Linked DNA regions of Coturnix japonica. The protein of the gene in region 3 purifies or fractionates together with the protein of the main gene of each other region. This does not show direct contact. Links are inferred from orthologs where the notes say so. Each region holds a gene or a part of one and is shown on either strand. Other genes may lie near its edges.

Region 1 (3,748 bases), on a different chromosome or scaffold from region 3:
TATGTCAACACTGAATTCATGACCTTAAAGCACCCAAAGCTTCTTGCACTGAGTGTGCCAGGTATTTGCTGCTGTAGCTAACAGAACCACAAAACAAGCATTGTAAGCTTGTGTACTACAAACTTCCTCCTCCAGTTTTCTCTAGTGCTCAGCTTCACTGTCTAAACATACCCAGTCACTTCCAGCTTTTTTAAAACCAGAATTACAGAATGCATACAACTGCAATGCACTTCATTATCCAGCCAATGAACTCTGACATTTGCTGCAGGACTGAGAGAATGTATAAAACTGTGCTGCAGCATTCCACTCGTGGTCCGGGAAGAGACAAACACCTGTGTGCAACTACAGCAAAAACAACACAAGATTCTTCAGAGAAGGGAACCATTCTTCTCTCCTATTCGGACCCACCAAGCAGCCCCTTTTTGCAGGTTGCCCTTCTTACAGTAACTTTCATGATAAAAAAGTACATCTGCCATTGGAAATAAAGTTGCTAAACCAAACATGCTTCTTGATTTATACTAGAAGGGTGGGCCAAAATTCTAACTACTGTCAAATGGCATCTATCCTCTTAATAACTTAATTCTAGGGCCACACGGAACACATTGCAAGCAACACCCAATTTGAGGCTGCAGCAACGGGACAGATCAATATGATGGGAAAGGCATTACAACAACAGTGTGATGATGGAAGGACCAGCACAACAGAAAGGTGATATAAAGGAAAGGAAGATTACTCAGCATATCAGAAGATTCCAGGTTTGCAGAGGAAAGCTCCACCAAGGAGGGATGTCCAGCAAGAGATCCTTCCCCAGTGGCAGTCAGCCCTTCATGGGGTCTAGCAGAGCTGCAGCCAGGCTTCTCCCTTCCTGGTCACACAGCTGAACTGCCTTCACCTGTGTACTCAGGGCTGACTGGGTCCTTTCCCCAGGTGCTCACAGTGGTTCAGGCTGTGATTCAACAGTCCCCATACAGAGGCAAATTATTCTAGTCGATATTATTTCAACTGATTACTTTGATAAACAAGGTTTATCTACAGCTCTGCCTCACTGCACATTGTGGCATTAGGCAGCTGTTAAGCTCTTACTGCAGTCTCCCCAATACAGAGACAGATACATGACAACATTTTGCTTAGCTATTTCCAATAAATCAGTGTGGGCTGTTATTCTAAGACCAAAAAGGTAACCCCATACAGTAAATTTTACATATTTCAAGCAGTTCCAAACACGTATGTGCTTTAGCAGGACTGGGCTGGAGAAAGAATTACTTAATGAAAGCTGCTATGTGTTAAAACATGCCTTAATTCATAAACACAGAGCACTACAGAATGGGTCACGTGAATAACAGCCTACAAAATCTAGTTCAGAATTTGTGCTTTCCTTCTATGCAGCCACTTCCCTGCAGCTCCCTGCGCTGGAGACATGCCCTAATCAGTGCCAGCAACAGCTGCGCTCACAGAGAGAGGCAGGAGCATCCTCACCAACACAGCTGCACAGGGCTGAAAAGCAGCGGATGACCACCAGCACGTACAGCAATAATTTCTATTCACAACCCATAGAGGTTATTCTGCACAGCAGATAAAGCGTATCGAGTTTTGGATATCTGTAATTCCCTGGCTGGCACTGTTACTATTCTCGACTTCACAGCACTGCAAGAAACATTTGTAGATGCTAACGTCGATTTCTCAGAATTCAAACGATCCTGACAAAGTTAGAAAACACTGACATATGAAAGTACTATAAACGACGCAGTCAAACAGAGCACAGATTGGAACTGGAGCGCTGTCGTAGCTCCCAGGCAGCAGGTCACACAGCCCAACGCGACGGATGCGAGCAAAGGGCTGTGTGTGTGTGTGTGTGTGTGTGTGTGTGTGCCTGCCGAGCGAGCCAAGAACTTGCCGTACAAGGAACTATTGAAGTCTCCGGCTGACGGGTCAGAATTGACAACATCACCGCGTACCAGCGGAGGCAAAACAGGGTCTGGGTGAAGGACCGGATGTTTCATACGTGCAAACAACGCCGAACCGGGCAAGTCAGAGTTCACCCCCGCCGCCCCCCCGTCCTCGTTCCTAAGGGAGCCCTCGGCAAGCTCGGCCCAGCCCGCTGCGGGGAGCAGCATCCCACCGCAACAACGGGCAGCGAAAGGAAACCAGCAGCTGCCGCGCGCCGCCCCCATCCCGAGCCGCCCCTTCCCCCTAACGCGAGGAGAGCGCCCCGAGCGGGGCGGGATGGGGGGATTCACCCTCAGCGGGGACGGAGCGGGGCAGGACGCGGAGTCCGACCGAGGCCGGAGCCGTTCCCCCCTCCCCCATCGCGCTCCCCGACGGGACACCCCCGCCCCGCTCGGCCCCGCCGTCTGCAGGGGATGATGCCGGGGGGGTCGGGGGGGCGCGGAGGGAGCGGTTCCCGGCCGGCGGCGGGACCGCGGGGCTTCGTGGCGCCGCTCCCCCCGCGGCCGGGGCCGTCCGCGTACCTGGTCCGACATGGCTGGGCACGGGGCGGGCGGCTGCTCGGCTGGGCCGCTGCGGGGCTCGGCTCCTTTCTCTGCCCGCAGCGCAAACACAGGCCGCGGCGCGGGCGGGATTTCCTGTGCGCCTGAGCTCACTTCCCGCCGCCGGCTCCTCCCCGCCCGAGCGGGGCTCGGCTCAGCTCTGCCCGCCCCGGCTCTGCCCGTCGGCACGAGGGGCCCGACGTGCCCCGCTGCTGGCACCACGCGTAGGGCCCGAGGAACGGAGCTCAGCCCGCCAGCGGGGCCGGCAGCGCAGTGCGACGGGCAGCGGGCAGGGCAGGGCGGCATGGCCGCTGGGGGCAGCGCGGCAGTGCGGTAACGATCCCAACCCCCAACCAGTCGGCTTCAAAACAACGCACGGTACCAACAACGGGACAGACCTCACCCCATTCGCTGTTGGTACTCACAGACAGACACAGCTGTAGCCATGTGCCGGTGTGGCTCTAGCATAAAGCCTGTGTGTGATTCTTAACAACGTTTCCTACGCAGTTTGCAGTTAAAGCGCACGCTCGCTCGAGCCAGAACTCAGCTGCCTTCCCCCATAGAGAACAAAGGCGCGGCTCTGACATGTGCACGGTCGCACAACACGCCGACTCGCCGCTCCGCCTCGTTAAGGAAGTCACAGCCCCGGGGCACGAGGAGCGTTAGCGCTGCGGAGCTGATCCGACCGACCCGCGAGAAAGGAACGCAAAGACCAAGCCCAGGCTTCTCTCCTTTAACTGCATAAACCCTATATCCCATATATTTGCAGTTAAACCACATTAATGCTGCTTTAAAGAAAAACGGAGCACACACACGTAAGGCTCTTATCAGAACACTCAAAGCCATCGCTGCTGCAACCACCTGGGAATTAAGCGAGGCTATTATGGGAAGTATTGCTCCTGCTCTGATTTTCTCCCTGCAACTAATCTCAGTCACTTGGAGTCCCTTCCATTAGCTCAGGCTGAGGTGCGGCTCTACTCGAGGCCATGGATGCAGCTGAGCAGGGAAGGGCCGCAGCATTCCCTCACAATCTGTGGCCCATCTCCTCTGCATAACACCTCTTTCACCAACCAAACACAGGCTCTTGAACATCAGATACAGCCACTTGGCTCCTAACACAGGCTCCTGAACAGCCAGTTGGCTCCTAGTGCTGGCACAGCTGCTCGGGAGCAAAAAGGATGAACATAACACTCTAAGCTCCAGCCTGGGCTGTCAGCACTGAAACAGGGCTTTGAAAGTAGGTGTGTGAACCTGCCTGACCT
Region 2 (3,748 bases), on a different chromosome or scaffold from region 3:
AAGATGATATTACCATCAGTAATAAGATTTATTGATGGCTGTTCTTTCAGGTAGCATACATAAGTTGTTGGAGTGTACCAAAAGAAAACCTTAGCATAACTCACGTAAAGCACAGCTGGCTGGATAATTAATGTTTACCATAGACTGAAAAGCCAGAAATGTAACATGTTGTCTTCAGCATGATAGCTGACCAACACATACATCCATTAGCCAATAAATAAATCCTCAAATGTTAATGACATTACAGTGTTACATATGCTTATATGATATAGGCAAATGTGCACATATAGATACATCACTACATACGTGCTTGTATATCACACATTATAAAAATGCTTCCTTTCTCTCTATACAATTCTTTACATAAATGATGACTACCCTACAAACCATACAAAGACTATGCACAGTTACACTTGCTACTTGGTGTAGGGAACCTGCTTTGGCAGGGGGGTTGGACTCAATGATCTAGAGGTCCCTTCCAACCCCTACAATTCTGTGATTCTGTGAAATACTACAACTGATGCCATAGCAATAAATGAAGCACATGCCACAGAAACACCTGCTCAACCATCCACTGTGTACAATACATTACCCGGACATCTTTATCTAAGGTGGTACAGGATATCGTTACATCAGCCATGGTCATGTTATACACGGGATGCTCAGCTCTTGGGACACATCTCTGGGACTGCATGCAGTACAGGACTACCTGTGGTCCAACAATTCTACAACCGAGCTGCAATTAAATAACATGGAAAACAAACAAAAGAAAGAGAATGAGCAGAAGGTACACTGGAGCAAGGAAGGTTTTCTTTGTCCCTGAGGAACCCTTGGTAAAAACAGTACATCCTATACATTCCACTTACTTCATGATAATCCTTACACTTTACTAGCTGTCTTCACCACTAAACACAGAGTGCAGCAAAGCTCTAAAGATTTCATTGTGAATACTGCATACTACTATACTTAATGCAAGAAGAAAAACAAAGGAGTCTGAGAACATCCATAAGAGCTTCTAGAAAAAAAAAGAGTATAGCTGGTATAAGTTGATGTGTAGCATACCTTTTTAAGATGATTGAAAGCAACACCAGTAAAAGGATCACAAATGTAAAGGGATTTATCATTTTCTTTTATATCAAGCACTGCTCCTTCTTCAAGAATGTGGAGATGTTCTTCTGACTGAAATTCTTTTATAGACTGCAGGAAAACAATGCATACAACCACATTTACTTAACTGATAAACCACAAATAGTTAATACTGTGGATGTTACACAAGCACATCTATTTGAAACAGCCCACAACAGAGCTAAGGTATCTAAAGAGCCCCCGTCACCTCCCAGCTTCACTCAGTATTTAGACTTAAACACTACATACAAACTGAACGTGTCATACAGTGCCTTCAGCTCCCCCAAACCTCTCCAGGTGGGGAAAAGCTCCATATTCTTCCTATTAAGTATTAAGGCAGATAAGCAACCACCACATGGACCTTCCGGGCCTACCTGGCATTTTGTTCAATATCAGCAAGTTTTGACAGAGTTACTTGTTCACCTTGGTCAATATAATTACTGTGGAATACTTATGTTAAGGAAATGCAGCTTTATTCTTAGATGTACACACGCAGGCTGCATCTACCACAGAGATCACCTCAGTGTTACACCCAGCAGGCCCACAGCTCGCACCTACCTCCAAAGCTTTCAAGAAATACTCCGAGCTCCCAGAAGACTTTACGAATTTCACCAAGAACAGCTCCTTGCTGCCCTTCATCCTTTAACTGAGAAGCAAACCCCGGTGAGATCCCCCACACCGAGCCCACCGGGAAGCCCCCACCAAGCGGGGGAGTCCCTACGGAGCCTCTCCTTACACTGAAGCTCAGCCACCACCCTAAACTCACAATGCAAAGCTCCCACTCTCTCGCCAACCCTAACACCGCTATGTACTCGGTGCTGCCGGTGGGACACTGCCCCAACCACGCTCCCTGACACCCCACACAGCACCCACCCCCACCACGGCAGGCGGGAAAACGCCGACTCGCACTGCGCATACGCGGAGGCCAGGGGGCGTGGAGCTGTGTGGAGAGTAATAGTTGGCAGGCGGATGCCCCCTCACGCTCCTCCTTCCCTGTCATGAGTCTCAATTGGCGTCCGCTCTTTAGTTAAGGCTTATTTTTGTTTCCGTACTGCCTGTAAGGGCGGCGACAGGAAGTATTGCTTGCGAATGGCAGCTGGAAGCGTTACCGTTTGGCCACGAGATGGCACCCGTCACCTAAGAACTGAGCAGGTTGAGGGTTTGCTCAGAAGTCGGCTTCCCGCTATGGGGGCAGATGTTAAACGTAATAAAAACTTAACTTCGTAGGATCTGAGTGAGTTAACGGACAACCTGAGAAATAGCAGTCTTCCCATCTCTAGTAATGCACAAAAACAAATGAAATCTCCATCAAAATTTAGGGGAGTAAACTCTTCAAAAGGGCTGACAATAGCAGGACACAGGGAAATGGTTGTAAGTTAAAAGAGGGAAGATTTAGGTTGGATGTTAGGGGGAAGTTCTTCACTAGGAGAGTGGTTAGGCCCTGTAACAGGCTGCCCAGGGAGGTTGTGGATGCCCCGTCCTTGGGGTGTTCAGATCCAGGTTGGACGGGGGCCTGGCAACCTGATCTAGATCAAATGGTATGTATTGTGGCCCTGCCAGGGCACGGGGGTTGGGAACTACATGATCCTTTATGAGGTTCCCTTCCCAGACTCAGGTCAGTCTGTGATCTGTGAAAATGCGTGTCTGTTGAATAGGAGGTACATTAAGGGACAGGCAGCCTCCTTCTTGGCCACTGCAGGGCACTGGTGTCCCTGCCTAATTGCTTAGGGGTTGGAACAGATTGTATGCTGAAAAGGTCCCTTACCAGCCCACAACCATTCAGTGACTCTATAAAGTGACTAACTTCTTGATAAGCTGCTGGTCTGTTAGGTCAAGATCTCTTAATTTCAGCTCTGTGCTAGGGAAACTGCTTGTCCCTTGAAAAGATCCATGTTGTAGGAGACAACGCTGCAAAGAATTGGGGCTCTTCTTGTTACATACCTCTCAGAAAACCTTGTCAGTGCACACTTGCACATTTGTTTTCTTGCTCTTTGCTCGTGCAAAGTAATTCTTCAAGGAGAAAGTTACTGCTGTTACTGCATGTAGCTTCCTGTCTCTTTAAAAAAGGAATGCAAATGTTTGTCTTTCTATACCGAAATTACCCAATTTCTGCTTATAGTGGTGGTAGTAATTGCTGCATGTGTCTTAAAAAAAAACCAACTTCTGAAAGTGTAGTATGGCTTTATGTTCCCCATGTGGAAGTAGTCCAAAAGTAGTGCTTAATGTGACAAAACCACAATAACCAGTGCCTGATAAGCAAATATTTCCCTATTTCACTTCCTGGCTTTCCAAAAGCACTTGGCCAACGTAACATTCTTTGAGACTCTTTGAACTATTTATTTGTAAAACTTATTTTAAAGACAGGCTTTCCAGAGCACCTGGGAAACAGATGTTACCCAACTGGATAAAAACAGCCATTAAAATATTCACTTTTATATTCCTATCTCCAGAGTTGTCCAAAACCAAAAGTATTAGGAAATGATATAAGAGTGCTATACAAACATGATCTAAAACAATGTGTATTGTGACAAAAGTATGAACTTAATTACCTGAGTACCCCCTTTATTTCACGCTTTCTGTGTTCAGGCTCTCTGAAAGATCTGAACTTTAAGGGAAAGCCCAG
Region 3 (3,648 bases):
CATTAACATCTGTAATTGCTTATAGGAAAGGCTGACCCATGAAAGTGTGTAACCAGCATTCCTCAGCCTTGCCTGTCTGCAGCCAAACCATTTGAGAAAACAATCTTACTCGTGTTTTTCTGCTCTGGAGTCTTTTGGTGCCCAGACCTTTGCTGGAGAAACTGAACCACAGTTGCTGCCGTTCCAAGTGAAACACACTGTTAGAAAGAATTAGGTTTGGGGAGCAATATAAAACCTCTGGTAAAATAGCCAGAACTGTAGCAAGCTTAGGGCTGGGAAGAAGAGACAATCAAAATGTCTAAGAATAGAGATCTAGTTTTAATGTTGCCTGGGGATTGATGACATTTCCATCTGGATATTGTAGCTAGTGCTCTTCCAAGTAATTTATAGCTGGTATAGCTGGTTTACTGTATCTTGAAAAGATGGAGAAGCCCTGAAATATCATTTGTTTAGTCTGTTTACCTTGTGTATTTGACAGCAGTTTGTTATACCCCTGACCTTTCACATCTTTCATGTGCATGTAACACCCTACATAACCCCCTTTTGTATTTCTTTGTTTCAGGGCTTTGATAGGTGTCTTTCTGATGCCTAGTAGCATACTAAGATCCTGTGCGTGCTCTGCACAAACTGCAGTGTTTACGATACAGTCTAGAGACATCTGAAGAGCCAGCTTGTCAGTGCAGTGTATGTGAAGGCAAGTGGGGTCTTTGAAGAGAAAATATGGCTGCAAATTAAGTATGGAAGAAGGAACCTTCAATACAATGAGGAAATGCCCACTGTTTTGACCTCAGTGAATTCTAGAGTCCAGAGCTCCCTAAGGTGATGGAAAAGATCATGTAGGATGCACACCTGAGCTGGTTCTGCTATTTTCTGCTGTCCTCCAGTCCACACAGTGTCATTAGGCAGCAGTGTTACTGGAACCTACAGGCCAATGGATGAACAGGACAGTGATTTTAAAGAGTTGTGGGCAAATATTTTGGGTAAAGGGAAGAAAAAATCTGAGGATGCTGAGGCTGCAAAGAGGACTCAGAAAAGATCAAAGAATACTGCAGCAAAAAGCAGACTAAGAAGAGGCAAAGTTGCTGCTAAGAGCCAAAACCATCACCTCTTTCCAGCAGCAAAGCAAAAAAACTTCCTTCAGGATTTGGGTCCTAAGATACAAACACTGGGGCACAAAGAAGACAGTGACACTGTGGCCTGCAGTAGTGGTGAGACTTCAGAAGGGGATGGAAGCAGAAGCCCTTTCCCTGCCAGCCAGCTGAGTACCACAGCCAGTGAGTGCAGCCAGGGGACTCTGACAGGTGAGTCAACCAAAACAGAAAACACACTAACTGATGAGACTGTAGTTCACTGGAGCTCTTCACCTGGAGAAGCCTTATAGCAGCACTGCTTGAAGGAGTTTACATCTTGTGTTTCCATCTGTACTTAGCTACTTAGGCTTATCAAGGCATTGAACCTAGCGGTATGCTCAGTACAGATGTTGCAAGATGCTTCATCTTTTCCAAGATAAAGTGTTAGCACAAAGGAGTCTATCAGGGAGTCATTATTCAGGGATTTTCACAATATCAGAATTTAGAAAAACACCTCTAGCGATCAGAGCAAAGAACTGCAGGAGCATCAGTACACTGTGCATTGGGAAGAGCAGGGCTTTAGGGCTGTGTTACTTGTTCCCCTCACTCATGACCTTCAGACAAGGCTTCTTTAATATTCCTCTCTGAAAGGGATGGAAAAGTATTTAAACTTCACTGTAGCAGGAAAGCTTGATACTGTTACTGTGGACACCAATCACAATGTGATTATAATAACTAAATAATAATAATAATAATAATAAAACTAAACACATTGTTCAGTTCTCTGTCTAAGAATAAGTGTTTCAAAGCTGAGCCTGGCTTAGGCTGCTGCTGGGGAAGGCTTTCCAGCAGCAATCTGGGCAGCTTAGTGATGTGTTTAAGACTGGCTGGCAAAGCTCTGGTGTTTTTTCCCCTTCTAGTAAATACTCAGAGTGGTTGTTCCCAGACGACGTTGTCTTTCCATCCTGCTACGCAGTCAGGGACCTGTTCTTCACCCACCTCGAAGACGCCACCTTTCACAGGCTCAAAGATGCGGGTGGCAGAGCTGGTAGTGGAGAGAATGCAGCAGTTCAAGAGGGTGGCACCTGATCAGCTAAAACACAGCACAGACTGTAGCTTGCCAAAGTCCTTAACTAGTGGAGATTTTGGTGGTGAAAGCCAGGAGCAGAACTCACCAGAGAATGGTAAGTTTGTCCTCTTTGCTTTTGTACGTGCAGAAAGAGTGCTGTGGGTTTAGTAATAACAAGTGTAACAGCTCCTTGCCTTTCATATGGGGTTCTTCATTCTGTCTTAGCCTATCATCTTTCCTTTCTTTGCCAGATCTCCATGATCTTCCATCCATGCAGCATGACAGTGCTCTGGCTTCAGCCCTTCAGCAGGAAACACAAAAGGAGTCCATGGAAAGCCTGGAAGATGCAGGCTTGTTCTTCTGTCAGATCTGCCAGAAGGATCTCACAGCCATGAACTCAACACGACGAGAGCAGCATGTTAACAGGTGAAGGACCAGCAGGATGAGTCCTTTCCGCATCTTCTCCCTGTTCAGTCAGCTTAGCCATTACAGAACGGTAATCTGTGAGATGACATTGACCTTTATGTCTTGAATTTGCAGGTTGCTTTGATCTCAAAGCAGAAGCTGATTGTCTTGCTCTGCAGGGCTTCTGCAGAAACATGTTAAGGCAAAGGCTGCTTTTATCAGTAGTGCCTCGGAGGGGCTGTGATTGTGGAGTGGCTAGCAAAATTAATGAGGAGCTGTTATTGTAGGTCTGTTAATTTCAACCCACAAAGTGATATTTTGCTCTGTTTTGCTAAAAATTGTTTTCCTAAGGTTGTTTAACATGTCAGTGCATACTGGAGTTGTTTGCTGAGGGAAAAGAGTTCAGAAAGATGGCAAAGTTGCATTACAGCATTTGGCCATGAGAGTGGAGAGGAGAAGGCCGTATCAGAATGATGAGCAACTAAGCTGAAATCAGTGCCCTTAATTGAACAGTTTCCTTACAAGAAATAGCCACGCTGTGGGTGAGGGGGACTCGCTGCTTTTCTCGTCAGGTGATTCCATTTTTAATGGTGGTTTATGAATTAGCTGGAACATTAGAATGGGTGCAGAAAGAGGGATTAGCTGATGGATGCACAGTACAGCTTAGAAGAAGTTTATCACTTGCACTTGCTTCTGAGCAGCAAATTGTTAATATGCCTCTGAGGCTGTAGTGTTCAGCTATCTGTTACATGTCATAGCCATCAGAGCAGCAGGCACTTAATTTGTATTTCATTAGGGGATGTTTCTGTGGCTGTTAAAGATGTGAGGTGATTGCACTTCCTTTTCTTCAATAGGGCTTAAATTTTAGCGTGGATAGTTCTGAAGCTTTGCTGTTGTCTCACAGGTGTCTGGATGAGATGGAAGAAGCACAGATGTCATCCTCCAGCAAACCAGCAATCCCTGAATGTCCCATCTGTGGTAAGCAATTCCAAACCCCCCAAAGCCGAGTCAGTCACTTGAAACGCTGTGCTGTCGAGATGGATGTTCCTCCTAAGATGCTTCTTCAGGCCGTACAGATGCAACTGTCCACACTTGGTGAGGCAC

What was found.
Region 1: the proteins of SLX4 (region 3) and SUMO1 purify together in Homo sapiens (affinity purification with mass spectrometry; 3 studies listed by BioGRID, with this or other methods). This does not show direct contact. The link is inferred for Coturnix japonica from reciprocal best matches to the Homo sapiens genes SLX4 and SUMO1.
Region 2: the proteins of SLX4 (region 3) and TOPBP1 purify together in Homo sapiens (affinity purification with mass spectrometry; 3 studies listed by BioGRID, with this or other methods). This does not show direct contact. The link is inferred for Coturnix japonica from reciprocal best matches to the Homo sapiens genes SLX4 and TOPBP1.

Annotation. Positions count from the first base shown.
Region 1 is NC_029522.1:10,247,039-10,250,786, forward strand, and holds the start of SUMO1 (small ubiquitin-related modifier 1), read right to left. Parts: upstream 2,602-3,748; 5' UTR 2,481-2,601; coding exon 2,469-2,480; intron 1-2,468. UniProt on the Homo sapiens protein: Ubiquitin-like protein that can be covalently attached to proteins as a monomer or a lysine-linked polymer.
Region 2 is NC_029517.1:39,238,499-39,242,246, forward strand, and holds the start of TOPBP1 (DNA topoisomerase 2-binding protein 1), read right to left. Parts: upstream 2,217-3,748; 5' UTR 2,178-2,216; intron 2,157-2,177; exon of another isoform or gene 1,772-2,156; 5' UTR 1,765-1,771; coding exon 1,684-1,764; intron 1,198-1,683; coding exon 1,063-1,197; intron 737-1,062; coding exon 593-736; intron 1-592. UniProt on the Homo sapiens protein: Scaffold protein that acts as a key protein-protein adapter in DNA replication and DNA repair. Composed of multiple BRCT domains, which specifically recognize and bind phosphorylated proteins, bringing proteins together into functional combinations.
Region 3 is NC_029529.1:10,984,821-10,988,468, reverse strand, and holds part of SLX4 (structure-specific endonuclease subunit SLX4), read left to right. Parts: intron 1-562; 5' UTR 563-931; coding exon 932-1,301; intron 1,302-1,990; coding exon 1,991-2,254; intron 2,255-2,390; coding exon 2,391-2,565; intron 2,566-3,448; coding exon 3,449-3,648. UniProt on the Homo sapiens protein: Regulatory subunit that interacts with and increases the activity of different structure-specific endonucleases.